Caenorhabditis elegans: one gene and its partners. The protein of the gene in region 2 interacts with the protein of the main gene of each other region in a pairwise test. Each region holds a gene or a part of one and is shown on either strand. Other genes may lie near its edges.

Region 1 (4,972 bases), on a different chromosome or scaffold from region 2:
TTTACCAAATTTAGAATGCTAAACGGCTAAAAGTTGGAAGTTTTTGAATATTTTAATAAGAAAAATTCAAAGGAAAATGGCTAATATTGAGATGTTTTTTTTTAATTTTTGAGTAAAAAACGGGAAAAAAATTATTTTTGATTTTTTTTTACCAAAACTATAACTACAGTGGAAAAAAGTTTTTTTGAAATTTTTAGTGAAAAATTATAATGCGAAACTGCTAAAAATTGAGAAATTTTGTAATTTTTGAGTCAAAAAACTTTTAAAAAAATTTATTTCGGGCTTTTTCGCAAAATTTAAAATTTCAAAACTCTCAAGTTTTTGAGTTTAAAAATTCAAAAACAAATTTTTTAACAAAGTTCTAATGCATTACAGTTTAAAATAAAATATTTTGAATTTTTAGTTAAAATTTTTTTAAAAATTTTATTTTAATGTTTTTTTTTGGCAAAAGTAAAATGTTAAACGGCTACAAAAAAATTTATAAATTCTTAAATTTTTGAGCAAAAAATCAAGAAATTGATCTTTCTAAAACTCTTACAGCTAAAAATAAAATATTTTGAATTTTTTTCAAATTTTTGGAAAAAAAAAGTTTCCGTTATTTTATGTGATAACTCTCACATTAGCCGAGGGAATTTCTAATTTTTTTAACCAACAATTTTCAAAATTCAAAACGAACCGCATCGAGAATCATATGGTCCTTGTGTGCATGTGCAATATTAATATTTGCCACGTAGTCGAGTGTGGTGTGTGCGAAGCAAGTGCCGACCTGGAAAAGAGCGGGTTTCTTGGTTTGAAAAAAAAAATGTTTTTATTTGTTTAAGGGTTTTTGAGTGGTTTTTCTTGCAATTGAGACGCTTTGTGAGAAACTATTTAAGGTGAAGCAAAAAAAAAAACGACAAAATTGAATGTTTTATATAACCAGAAATTTTGATTTTGTTAAGAACATTTTTAAATTTTTCGATTTATTGTTTAAAAAATAGACTTTTTTTTTCAGAAAATTCTTTTTTTTTCAGTAACATTATTAAATTTTTATCCAAAAATTAATCAATTATTTATTTTAACAATTTCTCGAAAAATAAAATAATCTTGAAAAAAATAAAAAAGAAGATAATATATTTGGAATTTTTTTTACTGTAAAATCGGCTTTTTTTGATAAATCAATATTTCTTTTTTCAAAAAATTGATTGTTCGCTTTAACGATTTTTATATTTCTCGAAAAATATAAATCTTTAAAAAATTACAAAAGAAATGTTTTTAAATTTCTTTTCAGTAAAAATGGGCATTTTTCAAGAAAGTCGATTTTGAATTAGGTTTTTTTCTCTGTTTTTTTTAGTTTTTCGAAAAATTAAATTTAAAAAAAAAATTTCAGTAAAGTTAACATTTTTTTGATGAATCAATAATTTTTGTTGCAAAAATTAATTTACGATTTTTATATTTCTCGAAGAAAAAATTTTAAAAATTTACAAAAAAAAATCACTAAGTAATTTTTTTGGCGAAAAAAAGATATCTGTTTTTTAATTTGTAAAAAAAAATTTCAGTACAATACCTATTTTTAGAAAGAAATTTTTTTCAAAAATTTGGATGAATTTTTTTTTGGTTTTTTATCGAGAATTTCGAATATTTTTCGTTGAAAATTCAAAAAACTCACCGCAGTAAGTGCATTTCGCCCTTCTGTCGCATCTGCAGGCTTTTGCCTTGAAATACTCGCATTTTTGACTAATGCATCATCCATTGATTGGGACATATTCTCAAAATGTGCACGGGATTCTGCCACTTTTGTGAGCTCACTTAAATTAGATTTTAGAGGAAACATTTTTGAATTTTTTTTATTTCGAAAAATCTAATTTTTAATTGAATTTTCAATTTTCTGTTGTGAATTATGCGATTTTTGGTTAAAAACACTTGAATTTTGGCTGGAAATTTATTATTTTTCGAAAAAAATTGCCTTATATTGTTTTATACGTAAAATTGATTTTTTTTTTAATTTGGCGGGAAATTCAACTTTTCAAAAAAGATTTTTTTTTTGAAAAATTACCAAAAAACCCGAGAAAAAATCGAGTTTTGCCTATTTTTTTGCAAATTTTTTTACAGGAATTTTAATTTATTTAATTAATTAATTAATTAATTTTTTCCAATATAGAAATTTTTTTGAAGTTTTCTGGCTCAAAAATTTTTTTAAAATTTTTAGCTCAATCCAAATACCTTTAGTTCAAAAAAAATTAAAATTTTCGATTGTTCAAATTTGTCAATTTTCTGTACCTCTAGAATGAATAATCTAGTAAATCAGCGGGAAATTTGAATTTTTCACCTCTAAATTTAAAGTAAAACGAAATTTTGATTTAAATTCGCTTAAACTCGTTATTTTGTAATTTTCGGCCTTTTTAACTCAGAATTTATCGATTTTTATGATTTTTCGCCAAAAAAAACTCCGGAAATCTCACATTTTAATGAAATTCGACAGTTTCGTGAAAGTGACCACATTTGAATGGTCGAAATACGTGCGAAATAGGTTAACAGTGTGTGCATAGGCTTCTGATAATCCTTGGAATGTTGTAGACGCCAATGGATTGCCGGAGAAGCTTTCATCGCATAATTGATTCACCGAAACCGTTAATTTGCTGGAAAAAACGGGGATTTTTTGAGAAAATTTGAATTTTTGGTTTTGAAACGATTATTTTTCGCTATGTGCCTTTAAAATACAGTAATCTGAAAGCTTAATCGTTTCGAGACCCCAAAAATGAATTTTTTTCACGTACTAAAACGTGTTCGTATAATTTTTGCTGAAATCAATCATTGCAGTGATGTGTCGGAGCATTTCGTTGAGCCGATTCTCTAATCGATTAAAATACATTGCATGTTGAGCGACTGTTGCGCGGAATTTTGGAGAATCCTGCAAAAATTTTAGGTTTTTGGTGTATTTTGAGGGAATTTCTACCTGAATTGCCTCGGAGCAGTCGATTTTTGGCGGAACAGACGGCATCGCCATTCCATTGTTTGATACTGTCATAAAATCTGGAAATTTATCGATTTTATACGAAGAAATTGAGTTTTTTCGGCTGAAAATTGAGAAAAAATAATCAAAAATAATTAATTGATAATATTGCGTCGTCAATTTCAATGCCAAGTATGCAAACACCACAGGTGCACAGAACAAGATCTACCGTACTCTTCAATTAATTAATTGAAGAGTACGGTAGATCTGGTACTGTGCAGCTGTGGTGTTTGCGTACTTGGCATTGAAATTGACAGCACATGTTTATCAATTAATTAATTTGGTTTTTAAAAACGCAATTTTAATAGAAAAAATGTCGAAAAAATGGTAAAAAAACATTTTTCTCTTGAAAATTTTCATTTTTAATAGCTAAAAATAGAAAAATAAACTGAAAACAGTCTTGATTTTAAAAAAATTGCTTAAATTTTTCACTTGAAAAAAATTCAAAAAAGTCTGAAAAGTCCGATTTTTAGAAGAAAAACTAATTTTATCACCATTTTTCTGTACAAAAATTATCGAAACTTATGGAAAATAACAAAATTTTCCCAATGTTAAAATAAAAGTTTTAAGTTTAAATTTTAAAATTAATTTTATTTCCAAAATTTCGCAAAAAAAATCCTATAAAAACGACCAACAATTTTTGGGTAAAAAAACTTTTTTTTTGATAAGTGGCTGTAAATATGCCACGTGGCTTTTGAAATTAAAAAAAAAAACATTTTCAAATGTTTTTTTCAACAACTTAAACTTCCGTATGCGCCTTTAAAGAAAACCAAAAGTCCATATCACTCGCACAATAAAGGAAAAAGAGAAAAATTCCAAGACACGTAACAAAAGCCTCAGAACAGAAAAAAAAAACAGAAAAACAGCCGGTTCTTCTTCTCTCTTGCCGCTACGGCTGCCGCTGATGATGATGGTGATGAACAGGAAAACGAGGGAGAGAAATAGAGAAGAGACGCAGGCAGTTAGACGGCGGGAGAAGAACATCGCGACAACTTTTCGGACGGAGGTCATTGTGTTTGTGGGGGGAAGAAGAAAAGGACGAAATTTTTGGAGAAAAAGGACAGTCGTATATAAACATTCACTGCTTGTTTCTCTAGGAACTCTCTTGATTTTCAATACTCTTTTTTTGTGGAGAGAGCTTGAGAATGAAATTGGGTGAGAGGAGGAGAAGGGGAGGCACCGAGAGCGCAACTAATTTAATATTCTCTTACTTTGCTTTTCTAGGCAGACGAGAAAGAGTTACGGGGAAATTGGAATTTTGCAATGCAACAACATTACACATATGTACACGTGGTACCAGAGTCTTATTTCGGTTTGATCTACGCAGATCTACAAAAAATGCGGGAGTTGAAACGCAGACTTCTCAACTGACTTCGCAAGGTTAAGAGCGTGCTGACGTCACATTTTTTGCGGGAAAAGTTCCCGCAATTTTGTAGATCAAACCGTGTTGGGACAGCCTGGCACCACGTGATTATCCAACAAAAAATACTTTTTTCATCAAAATTTAGTGATAAAATAAAAAAATTTTTTTATCTGAAAATATGTTTTATTTGACTTGGAAACATTGCAAAAAAGCTCAAAAATTAATCGGCAAATCAGCAAACCGGCACATTACCGGAATTGAATTTTCCGGCGAATCGGCAAATCGGCAAATTGCCGGAATTGAAATTTCTGGATAATCGACAAATTTCCGGAATTGAAATTTCTGGATAATCGACAAGCTTGTCGGAATTGAAAGTTTTCGACAAATTGGCAAATTGCCAGAATTGAAACTTCCTGCAAATCGGCAAAATGACAAACAGCCGGAATTGAAATTTCCGGCAAATCGGCAAACCAGGCAACTTGCCGGAATTGCAGTTTTCGGCAAATGGGCAAAATGACAAACAGCCGGAATTGAGATTTTAGGCAATTCAGCAAACCAGCAAATTGCCAGAATTGAAATTTCCGGCAAATCGGCAAACTGGTAAATTGCCGGAATTG
Region 2 (3,284 bases):
GAATGCGTATTGCGCAACATATTTGACGCGCAAAATATCTCGTAGCGAAAACTACAGTAATTCTTTAAATGACTACTGTAGGTCGATTTACGGGCTCTATTTTCGAAACAAATTTTTGTTCGAATTGTGACAACGATATTCAATTTTCTTTAGTTTTTTTAAACGAAAAATTGGAGGAAAATCGAATATTGTTGTCACAATTTAAAAAAAAATCGTATCGAAAGACCAGCCCGTAAATCGACACTTCAGAAGGCATTTAAATAATTACTGTAGTTTTCGCTACGAGATATTTTGCGCGCCAGATATGCTGTGCAATACGCATTCTCAGAACTTAGCGTCTCCGTAATACTTGCAACGTTTTTCGTGTTTAACTATTCAAAATTGTGGTACTTTCTACTATTCAATGTCGCTGGTATATGAATCTGACTCTGCAAAATAGAAGCTCAGTAAAAAACTTCTAGAAAAAATTAATTTTAATTTGCATGACCGACAAAACCCCAATATTCGATCAAAATTCAGAAAATTCAAAAAACTTGGGAAAACATGCAATTTGGTTCATACATTCGCGAAAAAAATAAATCTGAAATCCTGAAAAGAAATCTCATCAGAATGCTGGGTGTAGGGGGGTGAATTGAATATGCGAGAGAGAGCGGACACAGAGAAATAGACGGGACGAAAATGGTAAAAACAAAGCAAGTGTTGGTTATTATGGTCAGAAGAGAAGAGAGAAGAAAAAAGGTTATTTTTAGAATTATAACCGTACTGCATACAAAAATGTGCGAAGGAGGAGTTTTTGGAACAGAAAATTCAAACGGAAAGAAAATATGAAAAGAGATATGGTACACTATTGAAGTTGAATTGAATTGAATCACAATCAACTTCGAAAAGGGCAGAACATGGCGAGAGAGCAATAAATTTAAAGCAAATTGCAGCTCCAGTTGCTGAAGAAGCTCTTCTTCTGTGTCCCCGATCCACCGACGTTCACACGACCCGTATTCGAAACTGATCCACCGGCACGCATCTCGTTCTGCTCCATCTTGCTCTTGATATCACGAGCCAGTGTGAAGAAAGCTTCATCAATATTCAGATTGGCCTTCGCCGACGTTTCCAGGAATTTCGTGCCGTACTCGATTGCGAGCTGCTCTCCACGGTCCCGCGACACTTCACGGCGTTCTTCAATATCACATTTGTTGCCGATGATCATCCTCTCGACATCCGAAGCCGCATGCTCTTCTATATTGCGAATCCAGTTTTTGATGTTTTCAAATGATCGCTCGTTGGTGATATCGTACACCAGAATGATTCCCTGAAAGATAAATTAATTAAAATTTGAAATTTTGTGAAATAAATTTTGATAAAACATGCCATAGCACCGCGGTAATAAGCCGTTGTGATAGTTCTGAATCTCTCCTGCCCGGCTGTGTCCCTGAAAAAAAATATTTATAAAATCGGATTTAATAAAAACTAGCTCACCAAATTTGAAGTTTGATTTTCTTCCCATCGAGCTCAATCGTACGGATTTTGAAGTCGATTCCAATTGTTGAAATGAACGAGTTATTGAACGAATCATCTGAGAACCGGAACAGTACGCACGTCTTGCCGACTCCACTGTCTCCAATAAGCAAGAGCTGTAAAACGATGTTTTCTTGACATCTTGGCATGCAAAAGTTCTCACCTTAAACAAGTAGTCGTAAGTTTTTGCCATTTTATTGGAGTGAGTGAGAGAAAAGCTCTGAAAATAGGAAAACTATAGAAAAGTAACGCGAAATCGAAGAAAAACAATTAAAATAAAGTGAGATTAAAGGTGCATTGAGTTTTTGACACTGATGGGTCCCGGAGCGAAAAGTACAAAAGCCTTTCATTTTTTTAAATTGTTTAAAAACTGTAATTTTATTTGTTTTGTTTTACTGTTTTTTAAATTTTCTTTTCAATTTTAATCGAAAGTTAAAAGTAAATGAGACTTTTAAATTGAATTTTCCAAGTTTCATGACCGCAAAAAATGAAAAAAAAAAAGAAATGAACAGATGTCACGCTGTGTGTGTGTGCTCAGTTGGTTTGAGGATAGCTGGTCAATATTGAAGGGTCATGTGAAGACGTATGTAATTAGTAATTCCCACACAATGTCCGCAAAGAAAGCGACAAATGAGTGTTGAGGAATAAAATTTGGAGGAAATTTCGCAATAAAAAGATTTGTTTTCACTGAGGGAATGAATCGATTAGACAGCTCACAAAGACATCGTGGTCACGGGCCTTTTTCAAAAATAAACTATTGGGAGGGGGCGAGGTGGTGGTATCGGTGCAGCAGGAAAACAAAACGCGCAGCGGCCACGGCCATGACGATGTAAAAACGTAAAAACGGAGCGTCGTTTGTATCCTCTTGTTTTGCAATTTGAAAAACTTTTTTTTAAACAAAAAATCACCTTTTTTCAGGTCAAAAAGTTCCAAGAATGGTCGATGGCGAGGGAATTACCCCGAAAACTTGCAGTGAAGACATCATTAAAGATCTTTTAAATGATGTGAAATCGTCGGAAAAAGTAAATTAATTTAAATTGTACTGGAAAATTTACAAATCGAATTATATAATTATAATTAATTATCATTATTTTCAGCCATTCTCAGTGGATAAACTAGCCGGATGCGATCAGACAGATTTTGTTGGGAAAAGGCCGAAGAAGCATCACAGGCACAAGTCGAAGAAAAGCAAGAAAGTTCGAAGAAGATCCAAAACTTGGTCTAGTTCAAGAAGTCGAAGCCGGAGCCGGAGCAGAAGCCGGGGGCGTAGTCAGGAGAGGAGAAGAAGCAGAAAGAGTAGGAAAAGCAGAAGCAGGAGCCGTTTAAAGCATAGGGAAGAAAAAATTGAGAAGAAAAATCTCGAAAAAGCGCCAAAAAATGAGTAAGTTCGAAAATAAATTCGAAATAAGTATTTAAACTAATAAAAATTACTACAGATTAATCCCGCAAGCGCCAAGTACCGAAAATGGCAAACCGAAAGAATTTAAGGAGCCGCCAAGGAAAGATGAGGCCGATGATCTACCGCTTGGCGCGGATTTCAGCACCCCTTTAGTGAAAAAAGAGACAAAGCTGGCTATTAGCATCACTACAGTTCTGCCAAAAGCCGAGAATAAGAAAGAAGTTGAGGATGGAGAAATAGAAGAAATTGCATATGGAGATGGAGATTTTAAAGAACCAGAAGGAATCGAAAAGAATTTGGAGAATAAAAATATATGTGAAAATGGAAATCTGGATAATTCTGAAAATGAAAAAAGTAAGGAGAAAGACAAGAA
Region 3 (7,485 bases), on a different chromosome or scaffold from region 2:
AAACATTTTATTAATCGATTAAATATTAAAAGAAACACAAAAATGACAAAACAATACGAAAAACTGAATATCACTGTCGCAATTCGAACATAAGTGAAAATCGATCCCGTAAATCGACACCAGCACTACAGTAGTCATTTAAAAAGTTACTGTAGTTTTCGGTCAGATATTTTGCGCGTCAAATATGTTGCGCAATACGCCTTCTCAGGATTTAGTGTTCTCGTAATATGAGAGTACAATATTAAGTTTATTCTTCTCATCTATTTTTCTTCAAATTAATGCATACGAGTATTTTTTCCTGCAAAATGCGATTCATTTTTTAACCATATCACTCAATTTCTCAAATTTATTTGTTTTTTCTTTCAGTACATTCCCTCACAATTCGAGCTTGCTTTTTCCTATCCCACTTGTTTGATCTCTACGCTAAATATTTCCACGTGTAAAGTATTTTTCACCAGTCTTCCACACACTTTCCTCTTTTTTCGAATGAATTTTTGCTGAACATCATTTAAAACTCTGAATTGATTTATTGAAAGCTGAAAGCATTTGGATTTGTGTGCACCGAGAGAAAAGAAAACTGAATACAAAAATATACACATAGAGATGAAAAGATAGAGAAAAATTTGATGTTTTGATTAACTCCTAAAAATTTGCCAAAAAAACGGGAAAGAGTGAATTATGGAAAGGAGAAAAAATGATAGAAGATAACAAAGGGACACTGGGAGAAACTTTGTTTTCAGAAAGAGAAGAAGACCCGTAGTTTTAAATTGAGTAATAAATAACGTTGAAGCGTATTAACGGCGCCACCATTGAATAAGTCGCTTCGATGCTGAAACAGGCTGATCTATTCCACGAACAAAGCGAGTAGCCCTATCCAAAGTAAGGTTCTTCAAACGATCCGAATCTTCTTCGCTGAAAATTTCGAATGTTGTTTCATTAGTTTCACTGAAAGTAGTTTATTACGTGGTGTCAGAATGTCCCATTCGGTTTGATCTACGTAGATCTACAAAAAATTCGGAAGTTGAGACGAAGAGTTCTCAACTGATTTCGCATGGTTAAGAACGTGCTGACGGCACTTTCTTAGGCGAAAAATTCCAGCATTTTTTGTAGATCAAACCGTGATGGGACAGCCTGACACCACGTGGTTCAACAAAGCAATAAACACTTACATTTCGTCCTCAGTTGCAAATAACTTTTGAACCAAGTTACTTTTTGTTTTCATAGCATCACTATATTGTTCAATCAGTTTATCCGTTGCCGTCTTATTCTCATCAGAACGAGGGAAATCATCAGGAACTTCATTGATTTGTTTTCCCAATTGGTCAATTTCCGAAGTAACCTGACGAATTGTCTCAATGATATTATAGTATTCCTGTCGATGTACAAGAGTGTTCCGTTCATTTGTCAACTCAAGATATGATGCAGTCAACATTTCTTCTTCTGAACTTCCAACTTCTGTTTCACGGATCTTGTCTTGAATAACCTGAAAACAAAACAAACTGAATTAATCCTTTAATTCTCAGAATCTTACATCGGCTTGTGCTGTAATATCCGATATACGTTCGTCAATACGAACAAGCTCATTGGCGGTTCCTTCAACGTCATCGACGTCTTTTTCCCATTGGGAAGAGAACTTTTTGGTTGGTGTCGCCAGAGCGTCTTGCGAAGATGATTCGAAATCGTTTCCCTAAAAATAATAACATTTAGACGGTAACTTTCAATTTGCACCCATGATTAAATTTTATGTTGATTAAAATAGAAGCAAAAATCATTACATTACACTTTTTACAACATCACAAACCATGTATCCGTATTGTTTCGCCATCAACTGCAACGATTCTTTCAATTCTGCACTACGCATACTCCCATATCTCTTGACACGATCAAATGTAGAAGCTGATGAAGGAGTTGATGAATCGTTCTGAAATGTGAGCAAAACACTTGTTAGGCATACTGTACAATGCGGTGTATGATAAAAAAGAAAATATAGAACAGAGAAGAACTAAAGATAATATCGACGAAAGAAAAATTATGGTTAGATAGAAATGAGGATTGCTAGTGGTATTGACAGCTAATTGACAACATTCATATTTAAAGCTTAAAATAATACTCAAATGTTTAAAATTGAAAATCAGACAACTTATTACACTGACAAAATAGTTTGCGACAAAATATACGGTAGCTGGTCTTGACGCAAGGTTTCAAGCTCTCGTATTTGTCGATATTTCATCGATTCTTCATAGTTTTTTTTTAAATTTATGTGTGTTTTATTGTTTTATTTTAGTTTTTTATAAAAAAAAAAGTTTTATCGAAAAACTATGAAAAATCTATGAAAATACCTCACCAACGAGGATTTGAAGTAACTGTATCTTTAAAGGTACACATATTTTTCCTGAATCGGTGTTGCCAATAATGCTCTATTCGGGATTAAACTGTTAACTCGGCATTTCGCGTCTTCTTTCTCCCACCTTTTTGCCGGAAGGCGAAAAGGTGGGAGAAAGTAGGCACGAAATGCCGAGAATTTAAATATATTAATGACTGACCCGATTTCCATTTGTTCTGCCACGACCAATTGCTGGCACATGAGGAGTATCATTGGGATCGTCTGTAATTAAAACAAAATTAAGATGAAATTGTTCCTAATAATGCAATTGACATGTTAAAAATCACTGCACTATGAGGAAATAATAAAATGTACATTGTTTGCGGACGAGCGTCGGAGATGGATCACGTTTCTTGAACTTGTGTACATCGAGTTCTGAAAATAAATTCACTACATGCTTTGTCACAACACTAAAACAATTAAATCGGAGCATGATCTGAAAATGTTACAAACCAATACGACGAAGATCGGTATTTGATCCATCGATACGACGGAAAGTGGGATATGGTGATGATGAAGTAGAGGGGATTGCTGAAATGGGAACACACGGTAGAAATAATTAAAACAATCACAACAAAGGAGATTACTATAGAGAATCACGACAACTTTTGTGTTTTTAAAAACTTCTCACCCGTTGGATGCTGCTTTTCGTTCAGCATCCGTCTGACCTCTTCGCGTCTTCTCTCTTCATCACTCGCTTTCCGTGAATTTGGTGTTGCTGCAGGAGTTGTTGATTTTTCAATTAAATCACGTGCTCTTTGGCGTAGTTCATCTCGCTTTGAAGGTGATGCACGATTCTGAAAGTTGTAAAGATTTTCAAAAATAAGAATCTCGTAAAATTGGATATCTATTAGGAAAAAGAATTGATTAGACTATTTCGCTGGGAACAAATGTAATTGAGTTTTATAAGGGCGAGTATTTAATAAGTTTTTTAAGTTGTGTCGCAATTTTTATCAAGCTGTTATATGGTAGTAGGAAATGTTCAGTTATGTATAACCTTATAAATTGCATTAAAAAAATAAAATAAGAAAATATACCAAGAAATCTGACGATTGAAAGAACCTGTTTTTTTCCTATAATTTCAGTTATATTATACACACAAAGTATCTTAAAAATGGTAGAATTGAAGTGAAAAAAGATTTCAATAACTATTTTAAATAATTAGCATTATTCAATTCGAAATTCAACAAAAAAACAAAAACTAAATATTTAAAATTTTAAAATTTTTTTTTTCAATAAAAACTCACCGATGCACGAATTGCTCCAACTCCTGGAGTCACCATGGTTATGCTTACATTACTTCTCTCAAAGCGCATATTTGAAGTTTCAGCATCATCGTCATCAGCGTCAGTTGGTTGATTGAGAGCCGGATTGCGACTAGCCAACTGTGGTGTAACAGGAACTTCATCAGGAATGTGTCTATAATCCACAGCTTCTTCGAGATCTTTTTGATTTCGAATTTCTGTAATCATGGCAACAACTTTTTCTTCGGATTCATTAATTCCAAATGTTCTGGATATTCTGTGATCAGAAGCACTGGCTGGTGTAGATCCCTCGTCAAATCCTTCAAAGATTCGGCGAAGATGTTGAAGAAGAAATTCTATTTGTTTCCGATCAGGAGTCAGAAACATATCAACTGTTGGTACTTCTGTTATTCCTATCAAAGTAAGTGAATCGAGGGCTCTTTGAATATTCGAAATGCGTCCAGACATATTATTAGAGATATCCAGTGTTTCGTAATCTCCAATGAGATCCGGGCGATAAGAATGAAGAACTGCACACAAGGCCAATCCGTTGTTCCAAGATTTCATAAAATCATTAACTTTTACATGCGAATATCCGTTAGTAACTCTCTGACACCATGAAAGTAAAGTCTCTCCATCGATCGGTTGAGGGACAGCATCTCTAGATGGAGCTCTCGGAGAATTTGATCTTCTGAAATTGAAAAAAAATTATGATTGTGAGAAAAGTAACCAAACAATACCCTCTACTCATTGTTCCACTTTGAAGATAATATGGTGTAGCGATTGCTGTAACTGGAACATGCCGAGAATTGGAATCCACACGGAATTCTATTGTTGTAGACGCTTTTTCTTCTGTCGAAGCACGGCTTGACCGACTATGTCTGTTGGTTGCAATTGGCGCTGGAGCTGCTGGTTGTGACGTTTTTTCTTCTTCAGCTGATACTCTCCATTGGGGACGAACTGAAATACATTCTATAAGAGCCACGGGTGTCGGTTTTTCGATTTTTCGTTTTCCGAAAAATTGAAAAAAAAAATTTCGAGTATTTATTTTGGTTTTTTTAATCCTTTTTCTTCATCAACATAAACAAATTTTGATATATCATTTTCTGGATAATTTTCGAATTTTTTTTTCGATTTTCGATGTTCCTTGAAAAAAAAATGAAAAAAATCTACAAATTTTTTGATGACCACACACGAATTTAGGCTATATGACTTTTTTCCATGAAAATATTCTAGCCAAAAATTCTAACGATTAGGTTTAAAAAACGATTTCTAATTACCTTTTGCAGGGTTTTCATTCTCTCCGGAAGGTTTTCGGTGTGCTGGAACAATAGGCGGAGCGATTTCCTTTTCCTCTTTGATCCATTCCATCATTTTTGTAGCTGTCGTGTCGATTTGTTGTCTTGCAGCTTAAAAAAACAAATTATGTGAAATAAACTGTATTTTTTCAATCAAAATACCTGCTGCTCTGGAATCATTTGCACTCGCATCAACTTCATCTGTTACTGGAACTTTTTCAACAAAAGAGGCTGCAGCTGACGAAGTAATACTAACATCATCTGCATTTACTTCCGAAATAAGAGAACTTCCAAGAAGAATAATCAGGGAACACAATTTCAAATGAGGCGTCAATGGACGGAGCTTGAGCTTCAGTTCACTTTTATGATCGGGTAGATCCAGAATAAATAAGCGAACATTGAGTGGCACTGCTGCAATTGCTTTTCTTTTTCCTTTAGCAGTTACTTCTTCAACAACAATCGTCCATTCTTTATCTTCATATTCATCACTTGCAATACGATATAATGTTGTAAGAATATCTATATTCTCTGAAAATTGCTCAGGCCACATAATCAAACATTTGTTAGCGTCCGAACATTCTTCCCATTTTCGTTCCTTTGATGATACTTTTCGTCGTCTGTAAAAATTGTATGATAAAGGTTTCATGAACAATTTTTTATTTATTTTCGATTCGTATTATTTTCTTGTGAATATTTTTCTTTTTTTTTCAAATTTCCATAATGATCATGATGCATTGTGTCTATTTTCTGATTGACATTTATTATTCTTTGATAAGAAAATGTATTCACCTATGAACGAAAGAAACTGCAAGGTTTTCTGGTTTCCATTGTTCGTCGGTGTAGAGATGTAATTCCTAAAATAATAAACAATTGAGATAAAAGTATCAAGAACGAACCTGAAGAGTAACTGTAAATCTAAATTTGGCAGCTTTCTTATTGGATCTCCGAAGTCGACGAAGAATACCCGCCATCTGCAATTTATATGTTAAAACAATGGTAATCAGGTGCGTAATGCGAAGAATTTCTTTTCGATTTGTCGTACGGAAATGGATATTTGAGGAGATGAGAAGAAAGGAAAGGCGGCGGAAACCGAGAGGAATGGGCGCAGCCGTCTTCCTCCTCCTCATTCGACAACGGCGGCGAGAAGATTTGATAAAATGAGCGAGAGGCGATAGACTAGAAGGAAAAGAGAGTGACAGAGGTAAAAAGAAAAGAGCATTTGGAGCTCCAAAGAGAAGGTCTGAAATATGTTATTTTATCCAGTGATTCACAAGAATTTGTATTATTTTAAAGAAAATGAACAATAGAAATTTAGTAAAACTGAAAGGGAGAGGAGAGAATAACAAAAACAATCTGACAGTAGAGCATCGTGTAATGTTACTAGATCGAGTTGGATTGGTCACTTGAGACCGCCGATACAAAGATTTATGGCCACTTCTTGCCATCTCTCACGCTCTCGGTAGGTTTTCGATTTAGCATTTAGTTACAAGTGCTACTTTTCGAGTGTTCGTCGTTATGTATCAGTCAGCTGCCAGCGCCCGTTACACTAACTCTGCTCAGCGCGCCGTCGAAGTTCAAGTGTTCTCCCATAAACAAAAAATGGCAGTCAGAATAAATAAGTTAATTTTTATTCTGAAAACACCATTAAGTAACGTTTTCAGAAAACATGAGGAGCTATCGAAAATGCGATATTTAATAAACGTGAGGAACATAAATGGTTTGATCGAGAACTATATGCATAACCACAGTGATTGTTTGACAAAAATTAATTTAATACGATGAAACTGCATGAAGAAAACAACAAAGTAGATATTTATTGCAACAATATATTGAAAAACCGTTTTCAAAAATTGGTCTAAAAAACACGGCCCGAGAAGTGGTATTTTTTTATGATGCATATAAAAAATTGGAGAGGTCTACACTCCAATTATCAGTAGAGCGCATTTGCATGGATGTACCACTTGCCGGGCCGTGAAAAACGTTTACGTCTTTTTGCGTCTGCATTCACAGTCACGCAAAAACGCAGACACGTTACTGTAAATAGAATATTGTGTAATTCGACGTGGCCGTGTTTGCACATTGTTATTCTGTTTGAAAACATTTTTTTTCCGAAATAATTTTTGCAGAGGGGTTTTTCTTTTATTTCTTTTATTTCCTTGGTAATTCCCTCCATAAATGCGTTTGTATTCTCACAAATTAAAAAATTAAATTATATTTTTAAAAAAGTTAAAAGCCGATTTCGATATTGATTATTTCTTAAGCAGGTAAAGAATTACTCACGATATTGTTAATTTTATTGTGAACAAACTACTTTTTCACCTTTGTTAAACTTTTACAAATGTCTCAATTAATTATAAATAATTTTTATACGAATTCAAACTCTTTAAAACCTTAGAAAGCTGAATAATCGAGCAGAAACTGCGGCAGCAATGCCCGCAATTAACTCGACAACAATGGCCTAGTTGTCGGGTGTTGCCTGTTTCTCGTCCTCTTCCATTTCTACGTTTTCCACGTTCTATGTTTGTCCTGCCTCCCGCCTTAACTACCATTCATAAACGTT
Region 4 (6,056 bases), on a different chromosome or scaffold from region 2:
TTGATGCCGCTTTCCCAACTGATCCATTTGCTCAAGGAGGCTTCCCATCGGATTCTGGCTTCGCACAATCGGCTCCCGCAAAACCTGCTCCACCTCGCCCAGCTCCTCCAAAATCTGCTCGCGAAACACCTGTCAATGATCCTTTTGCGTAAGTCTTAGTGAGTATCAATTTATTTAAAGTCTAAATAATTTCAGCCCATCACAAGGACAATCAACTCAACCGGCTGGATTCGCTGATTTTGCGGACTTTGGATCGGCTTTCAATTGATTTTTAATAATTATACCTTACCCACTATAAGCCCCAACGCCAGTCAAATTGTTTTACTTTGCCCAAATGTTTACCTGTGCCAAGTCATCGACATAATTTATTGATGCACATTTTTAAGATTAGTTTTTTTGCACTTTCCCACTTGAATTGTCACTTTTCTAGGTTATGAAATCAGAGCAATAATGTTATATACTGTAGAATATGAATATGCATGATTATTATGTAAATTATGAGTTATAATATATAGTAAATGATTTGCAGATTAATTTTATGTTGCGTATTTGATATTTTCAGTCTCATGTGTAAAAACGGAGCACAAGTAAACGGGTTGAAGGGGGGGAAGTAAACCGTAAAAGAAATTGATAAGGAAAAAGGAGAATCACAGAAGTTTGAAAATAATAGTGAAAAAGTTGTGTGAAGAAGACATAATTATGCTAGAAATCGAAAGAAAATACAGATTAGATGTACAAGAATGTTCGTGTCGGATTTACATACAGTGGCCAGTATCCTGAAAATAATAATCGCTATATTAGAATTTATTTATATATTACTGTTTACCTTCAATTGTGTCAAATAGAGTTGTCGTTTAGTTTCTATAGTCTTCTGAGGGAACGGATTCAGTTCGTTGAATGCCACTTGAGCTAGCGACTTGAAGTCAATGATATGTTCTTGAGCTTTGCTGAGACATTGATGAACTGTGCCTGAAAATTCTTGTTAAAAAACTAATAAATTTAAAGTTGTAAGTCACAAACCAATAGTTTTACATTGAAGAACGTGAGGTTCGCATATTTTGAAAAGTGCCAGTGCGAATCGAAAAAGAACCTTATTTCCTTCATAGAGGAATGCATCGAATATAGTCAGATAAATAGAATGCGGGAGTACATCTACAAAACACGTCAGGAACCAACTGAGCGCGAAAAGTGAAAGATCAACTTCAAGAGCTCTCAAATGTGCAGCCAATTTTGGAAGCTTTTCTGCTACAAGATCGCGGAGAACTTTCTGATCGGCAACCGCTCCGATCAGTGAGCTAGTGTAATATCCTTCAGGTTGGAGATGTTCCACACATGCTACAAGGAACCAGAACGAATCCTGCTCATCCAGGTTTAACAGAGCAATTGCAGCAAGACGATTGAGTCCTTGGCAGTAGCCGACGTGAGAGTTATGGTATCGGAAGGCGTAGAGTACGTTTCGTAGTTTTTCTATGTTAGCAGAATCTGGCTCGTCGAAAAGTTTATTCGTGGGCAGAGTTCGAGCGAGGTCAAGATCAATCTGAAAAAATAATATGAGAAACTCGAATTTAGAATAATATAAATATACCTGTTTGATGGCTGCATCGTAACTTCCATCCTGCTTCTTTGTTCCAGCCTTTCTGAGCATACTTTGATAGTATCCATTACCCAATTCTGCTTGCTTATCCTTCACCCAATGTGTCACAATTATCTTCCATACACGACCTCTGTAGGCAGGTGGTACTCCAGTTCGAATAAGAGTTTTTAGATCAGGTGAAGACATGATTGCAGTCTGCCGGGATACTGTATTGTTGACAAGGAACGCATCCCACGATTGTAACCATTTCATGTATTCTTCAGATTGTTCCAATTTCGTTGCTTCCACTACGTCTCCCGCTTTTTTCATGTAAAACGTGGCAGTATCCAAAAGATCATCGCTTTCAGAAAAATCATCCTTTTTATAGAATCCCAACTGATCCGTGAGGTTTTGCTGAGATTCTCGAGGTGTTCTTGCCGACTCTTCGAGTAATTCTTTCAACACACCAGGTTCCATTACTGTAGAGCAAAAGTGATTATATTATAACAGAAAATTGTTTAAAAACTCACTTTTTCCTGGTTTTGTCGGAGACTTAAAATGGTTTAGAACCATCAAATAACGGCTTTTTAATTGGTAATAGCAGGCTTCGAGGTCGAAATTTTGACGAATCAGCTTCTTCTCTCGATCTTCCAGAGATTGAGTGATAGCATGCAATTGGACTATTTCCGCATTCAAAAACTGATTCTGGGTACGGTATCCTTCTACGAGATCTTGAAGTTCTCCAATATCACGAACATTTTCTTCGTCTAGAACCCTAAAATAAAATACTTTAAAATTTAAATTGTAAAAATAAATTCGTACTTCCTGGTAGCTTCTTCACAATCAACTGATGATACATCGACAAGAATGCCTTCAGGAACCTCAACATCCGATACAAGTCCATTTGCGTCTGCAGGAATATTCGAGCTTCTTTCAGATATCGATCCTAGTAAGTCTTCTCGATTTTCTTCTTCACACATTCGAAGAATAAGCTCTTCTTTTGTTCGTAATGATTCTCGGAAAGCTTCTACTGATTGTTGCAAATCATTGATCGTATCCTCAAGCCTTACATTTTGATCTTCAAGATCACGAACTCGTCGAGCATTCATGCTATTCGAAATATGTAATTCGGTGACTTGTCGCTCCTTTTCCAGTATATACTCTCGCATTTCCTCCTTATTATCTCCCATATCCTCGATTTTCTGACTAAAATTTCAACAATTTATTATGATTTTAATTAAATAATAAAACTCACAGTGCTTCATTATTTCTTTGAGCTAGTAGAAGAGCAGCTCTCAGCGAATCGACAACTTCCTCCAGACTTGAAACTTTATCAGACAATTCAATAACTTTCTCTTCAGGAGTTAGATCAACAGAAGATACTGTACCTTTCTGAAAATTTTACTCATAGTGAATGTTTGATCACTATTTGAACATACTCTACTTCCAACAACTGGTTCATCGGACGTATTTTGCCGACTTCTGCTCCAAGTCGAAAGATTTCTTCGAATAGCTCGAAAAGGAGCTTCTATACTTTGATCAGCTAGTCGCTTTAATACAGTTTCTGGGCTTTCGATTGTCTGAAAGTATAATTTGAAAGTTTTCAAGTTGTATGTTCACTTACCTTTGGCATCTGTAGAGATCGTTCATTCAGCTGTCCATTTGGATTCAAATACCATTCCGTTGCAGATCCTTCAGCTGGTATTTTCGTGTTGTCTGTGTCTTCAACCACTTCGGCAGTTTCCTCAGATGAGTGAGGAACATCAGAAGATGTTTCAGCGTCTGTTTCTTCTTCAGTTAGGAATTGTGTTCGTTTCTTTGGTTTTGGACTTCTTGGTGGTGGTACTGGAGAAGGAGACGAGCATTCTTCGAGGACCGAAGACGAATTTCTTCCCGTTAAAGACGAAATATCTAGACTTGAATCAGATTTTGATTTCGTTGCCTTCCAGCTTCTTTTCCGTGTACTTTGAAGAGCTTTCATCCATTCATTGCGTTGCTTGTCTGAACTACATTCCAGCGCAATTACTTCATTGTTAGAGCTGAAATAAGTCGATTTTTAACGAATTAATTATATTAAACTCACTGAATTTCAAAACGGCCTTTTTCTCTTGGATCATAAGTGAATGCTGCGCCACTCAATGAGACTCTTCCGATACATTTTATGTCATCTGAATCTTTATACCAGTAAAGATATGGAGTTGAGTCACAGAGTGCGAACCAATAGCGACGGCGTGTTATCAGACCGATCGAACGAACTTCGATCTGGAAACAGTGGATATCATTTTTGTTGATTCCTAAGATTGGCATTTAATGTTTTTAAAAGTTCTTCGGGATCAAATTTAAAATAGTAATGTCATTTTAAAATTTTCTGGACATTTTAAAATAAATCTTTAAATTTTCTGGAAATTTTTCCGAAAATAATATATTTAGGCCAAACTACCGTACCCGATGCAAGTATCCACAGATTGCCGAAGTTTTTAGTTCGCGAGCTGGTGGGCTGATTGTCCCCGGCGCCGCAGACATCCGCGTTATCTGAAGTTCTGAAAGTAGGAATAGATATGAGAGATTTAGAAAGAATAACAAAAGTAGTATTTGTATCGTATGTTCAACGACTCATCGCACTGGACAAACTGGTTTTTTATTCGACCACCAGGCGAGGGAAGGTGGCGAACGGAGAGGGAGAGAACGTATCGAATTTTTATGAAACAAAATGAGAAAAAAAGAAGTGAAATGCAGGAAGAGGTATTGAGAAGTGAAGTGAAAATGAAATAGAGTAAGAGATCAATATGAAATGATTAAGAGATGACTAAAATTAGTCATCAAATAATTTATTGTTGCTGTTTAATATTCGTCCAGTAATCGGGATAATCGGCGAGTTGGCCGATGTTGATAGTTTCAGAGCATCCTTGCATTGCACACTTGATAACTCGCTTTTTGCCAGCAAACTCATGAATTGAATCCCTATCGTAGACGTGTCCACAGTTCTGGAATATTGATTTATTGATATAAAATAAAACTTTTGTTGCAATTTGGTGGTGATGAAATGTTTCGAAAGATAAATAAACGAACAAGGATGGTCAATCAAAAAATAATGAGTCATAAATTGCAGATGATATATTTGCACAACCCGAATGACAAGACGGGGATGAAATGTTGAAAAATAGAGAAAAAATGTTAAAAACTTACCTTACTGATAACTGGATTGACAATATCTTTCTTCGAAATTGGATCCTTTCTACTATGTTGAACTTGCATCACTTCCATTTCATTTTCATCGTTTTTACTTTCATCCCTTATAGATTTGATAATGTCTTTGAAGTACTGTCGCTCGCCTTTCACATTTTTATGGGTTTTTTTCGCCTTCTCGTATAACTCCTCCAATGCTTTTTCCTGCAAAATTATTATTAATATAATTTGTTTAAATATCTGCAACGTACATTCGGAACCTCGTCTGAACCATCTTTCAGGTCATTATGCAACGCTTCAAAAATGTGTTGCATTTGAGCACCTTCAGTCTCCAATTCCATCAACTTCATTGCATCTTTCATCAATGTTTCTTTGAATTCTTCAGAATCTACTTCATTTGAAATAGCATTTTTTGAATTGATATGAAGAACATCCTCAGCAGCCTTTCTCAGACTTTTTCGAATAATTTCCATACTAGTGGCGAGCTGGGTAGACATCTGGAAGGGATTTCACAACTTATTGAACTTCTAAATAACAAAAAAAGATAATTCAAAAATCGTTATATACGAATAACATTAGCCTACAAATGAACATTTAAAATTTAAAATTTTTTATTGAATTAACCCATATTTTCAGAAAGTGATTATGCATGAAAATTTTGAACATAAGGCGATAAAAACCAGGCAGTGAATAAGAAGTGATTAGGTACCCATATTCAATTTTCCTATTCGGACAGAAAGATGGAAAAATATGGAATCTTTGTCGTTTCCCCAAGCTTCGTGTAGAGAAAGCAGCTTTTGTAAAGTAATTCGAACACTTGTTTCACATCGATCCAAATAGTCAAGATCCAACGTGTTGGAGACTGATCTGAAAATAGTAATTTTTCATTTTAAAAAGCTCAATCAAAAAAGCTGCAGTCATGGCTGTAAATGTTTTTTTTTTTGGAAAAAAATACGAAAAATTATGCTTCACAAAACAATTTTGAGTAGAAAAAAATTAAAGTCGAAATTTTAAAAGAAAGTACAATTTTGGTCAACTTGTTTTAGATTTTCAAAATGAAGTTTCAAACTTAATAATTCTTAGTTTTGGTTTTTTGTTGCTTTTTTTGTGTTTTCGGTGGAAAAACTTTTTGATCTGATCTGAAAGTTGAAATTTAAATCCAATGGCATTGAAAGTGCCAAAATATTAATTTAAATGTTTGCATTTAATAATTGTATAACTTACCGTAACCGTATCTCATCTGTCATAGTCATAAACATATCCATATTTTCATGAACCAATCGTCTGATTCCAATGC

The links.
Region 1: the proteins of rab-8 (region 2) and cnt-1 interact in a two-hybrid assay, tested with the Caenorhabditis elegans proteins (one study listed by BioGRID).
Region 3: the proteins of rab-8 (region 2) and ehbp-1 interact in a two-hybrid assay, tested with the Caenorhabditis elegans proteins (one study listed by BioGRID).
Region 4: the proteins of rab-8 (region 2) and tbc-2 interact in a two-hybrid assay, tested with the Caenorhabditis elegans proteins (one study listed by BioGRID).

The regions. Positions count from the first base shown.
Region 1 is NC_003280.10:12,085,855-12,090,826, forward strand, and holds the start of cnt-1 (Truncated cnt-1), read right to left. Parts: upstream 3,015-4,972; 5' UTR 3,008-3,014; coding exon 2,936-3,007; intron 2,891-2,935; coding exon 2,757-2,890; intron 2,619-2,756; coding exon 2,442-2,618; intron 1,788-2,441; coding exon 1,649-1,787; intron 767-1,648; coding exon 677-766; intron 1-676. UniProt on the Caenorhabditis elegans protein: GTPase-activating protein for the ADP ribosylation factor family. Regulates endosome recycling downstream of rab-10 and upstream of arf-6.
Region 2 is NC_003279.8:3,682,355-3,685,638, forward strand, and holds rab-8 (Ras-related protein Rab-8A), read right to left. Parts: upstream 1,733-3,284; 5' UTR 1,706-1,732; coding exon 1,676-1,705; intron 1,629-1,675; coding exon 1,474-1,628; intron 1,427-1,473; coding exon 1,366-1,426; intron 1,307-1,365; coding exon 917-1,306; 3' UTR 536-916; downstream 1-535. Other genes in the region: D1037.1 (Protein SON), read left to right, coding at 2,448-2,534, 2,610-2,893, 2,949-3,284.
Region 3 is NC_003283.11:9,549,055-9,556,539, reverse strand, and holds ehbp-1 (EH domain-binding protein 1), read right to left. Parts: upstream 5,897-7,485; coding exon 5,822-5,896; intron 5,780-5,821; coding exon 5,715-5,779; intron 5,543-5,714; coding exon 5,088-5,542; intron 5,037-5,087; coding exon 4,908-5,036; intron 4,588-4,907; coding exon 4,368-4,587; intron 4,319-4,367; coding exon 3,631-4,318; intron 3,181-3,630; coding exon 3,015-3,180; intron 2,915-3,014; coding exon 2,837-2,914; intron 2,759-2,836; coding exon 2,699-2,758; intron 2,606-2,698; coding exon 2,544-2,605; intron 1,922-2,543; coding exon 1,802-1,921; intron 1,688-1,801; coding exon 1,532-1,687; intron 1,484-1,531; coding exon 1,170-1,483; intron 913-1,169; coding exon 795-912; 3' UTR 508-794; downstream 1-507. Other genes in the region: nstp-10 (GDP-fucose transporter), read left to right, coding at 6,704-6,730.
Region 4 is NC_003280.10:5,823,331-5,829,386, forward strand, and holds tbc-2 (PH domain-containing protein), read right to left. Parts: upstream 4,114-6,056; 5' UTR 4,097-4,113; coding exon 4,019-4,096; intron 3,836-4,018; coding exon 3,657-3,835; intron 3,613-3,656; coding exon 3,198-3,612; intron 3,154-3,197; coding exon 3,013-3,153; intron 2,966-3,012; coding exon 2,829-2,965; intron 2,780-2,828; coding exon 2,396-2,779; intron 2,349-2,395; coding exon 2,104-2,348; intron 2,053-2,103; coding exon 1,586-2,052; intron 1,538-1,585; coding exon 1,021-1,537; intron 970-1,020; coding exon 827-969; intron 777-826; coding exon 756-776; 3' UTR 526-755; downstream 1-525. Other genes in the region: ehs-1 (Eps15 (endocytosis protein) Homologous Sequence), read left to right, coding at 1-148, 196-268; ZK1248.11 (E3 SUMO-protein ligase NSE2), read right to left, coding at 4,402-4,557, 4,760-4,963, 5,011-5,256; gtap-1 (Dynein heavy chain 7, axonemal), read right to left, coding at 5,461-5,626, 5,984-6,056.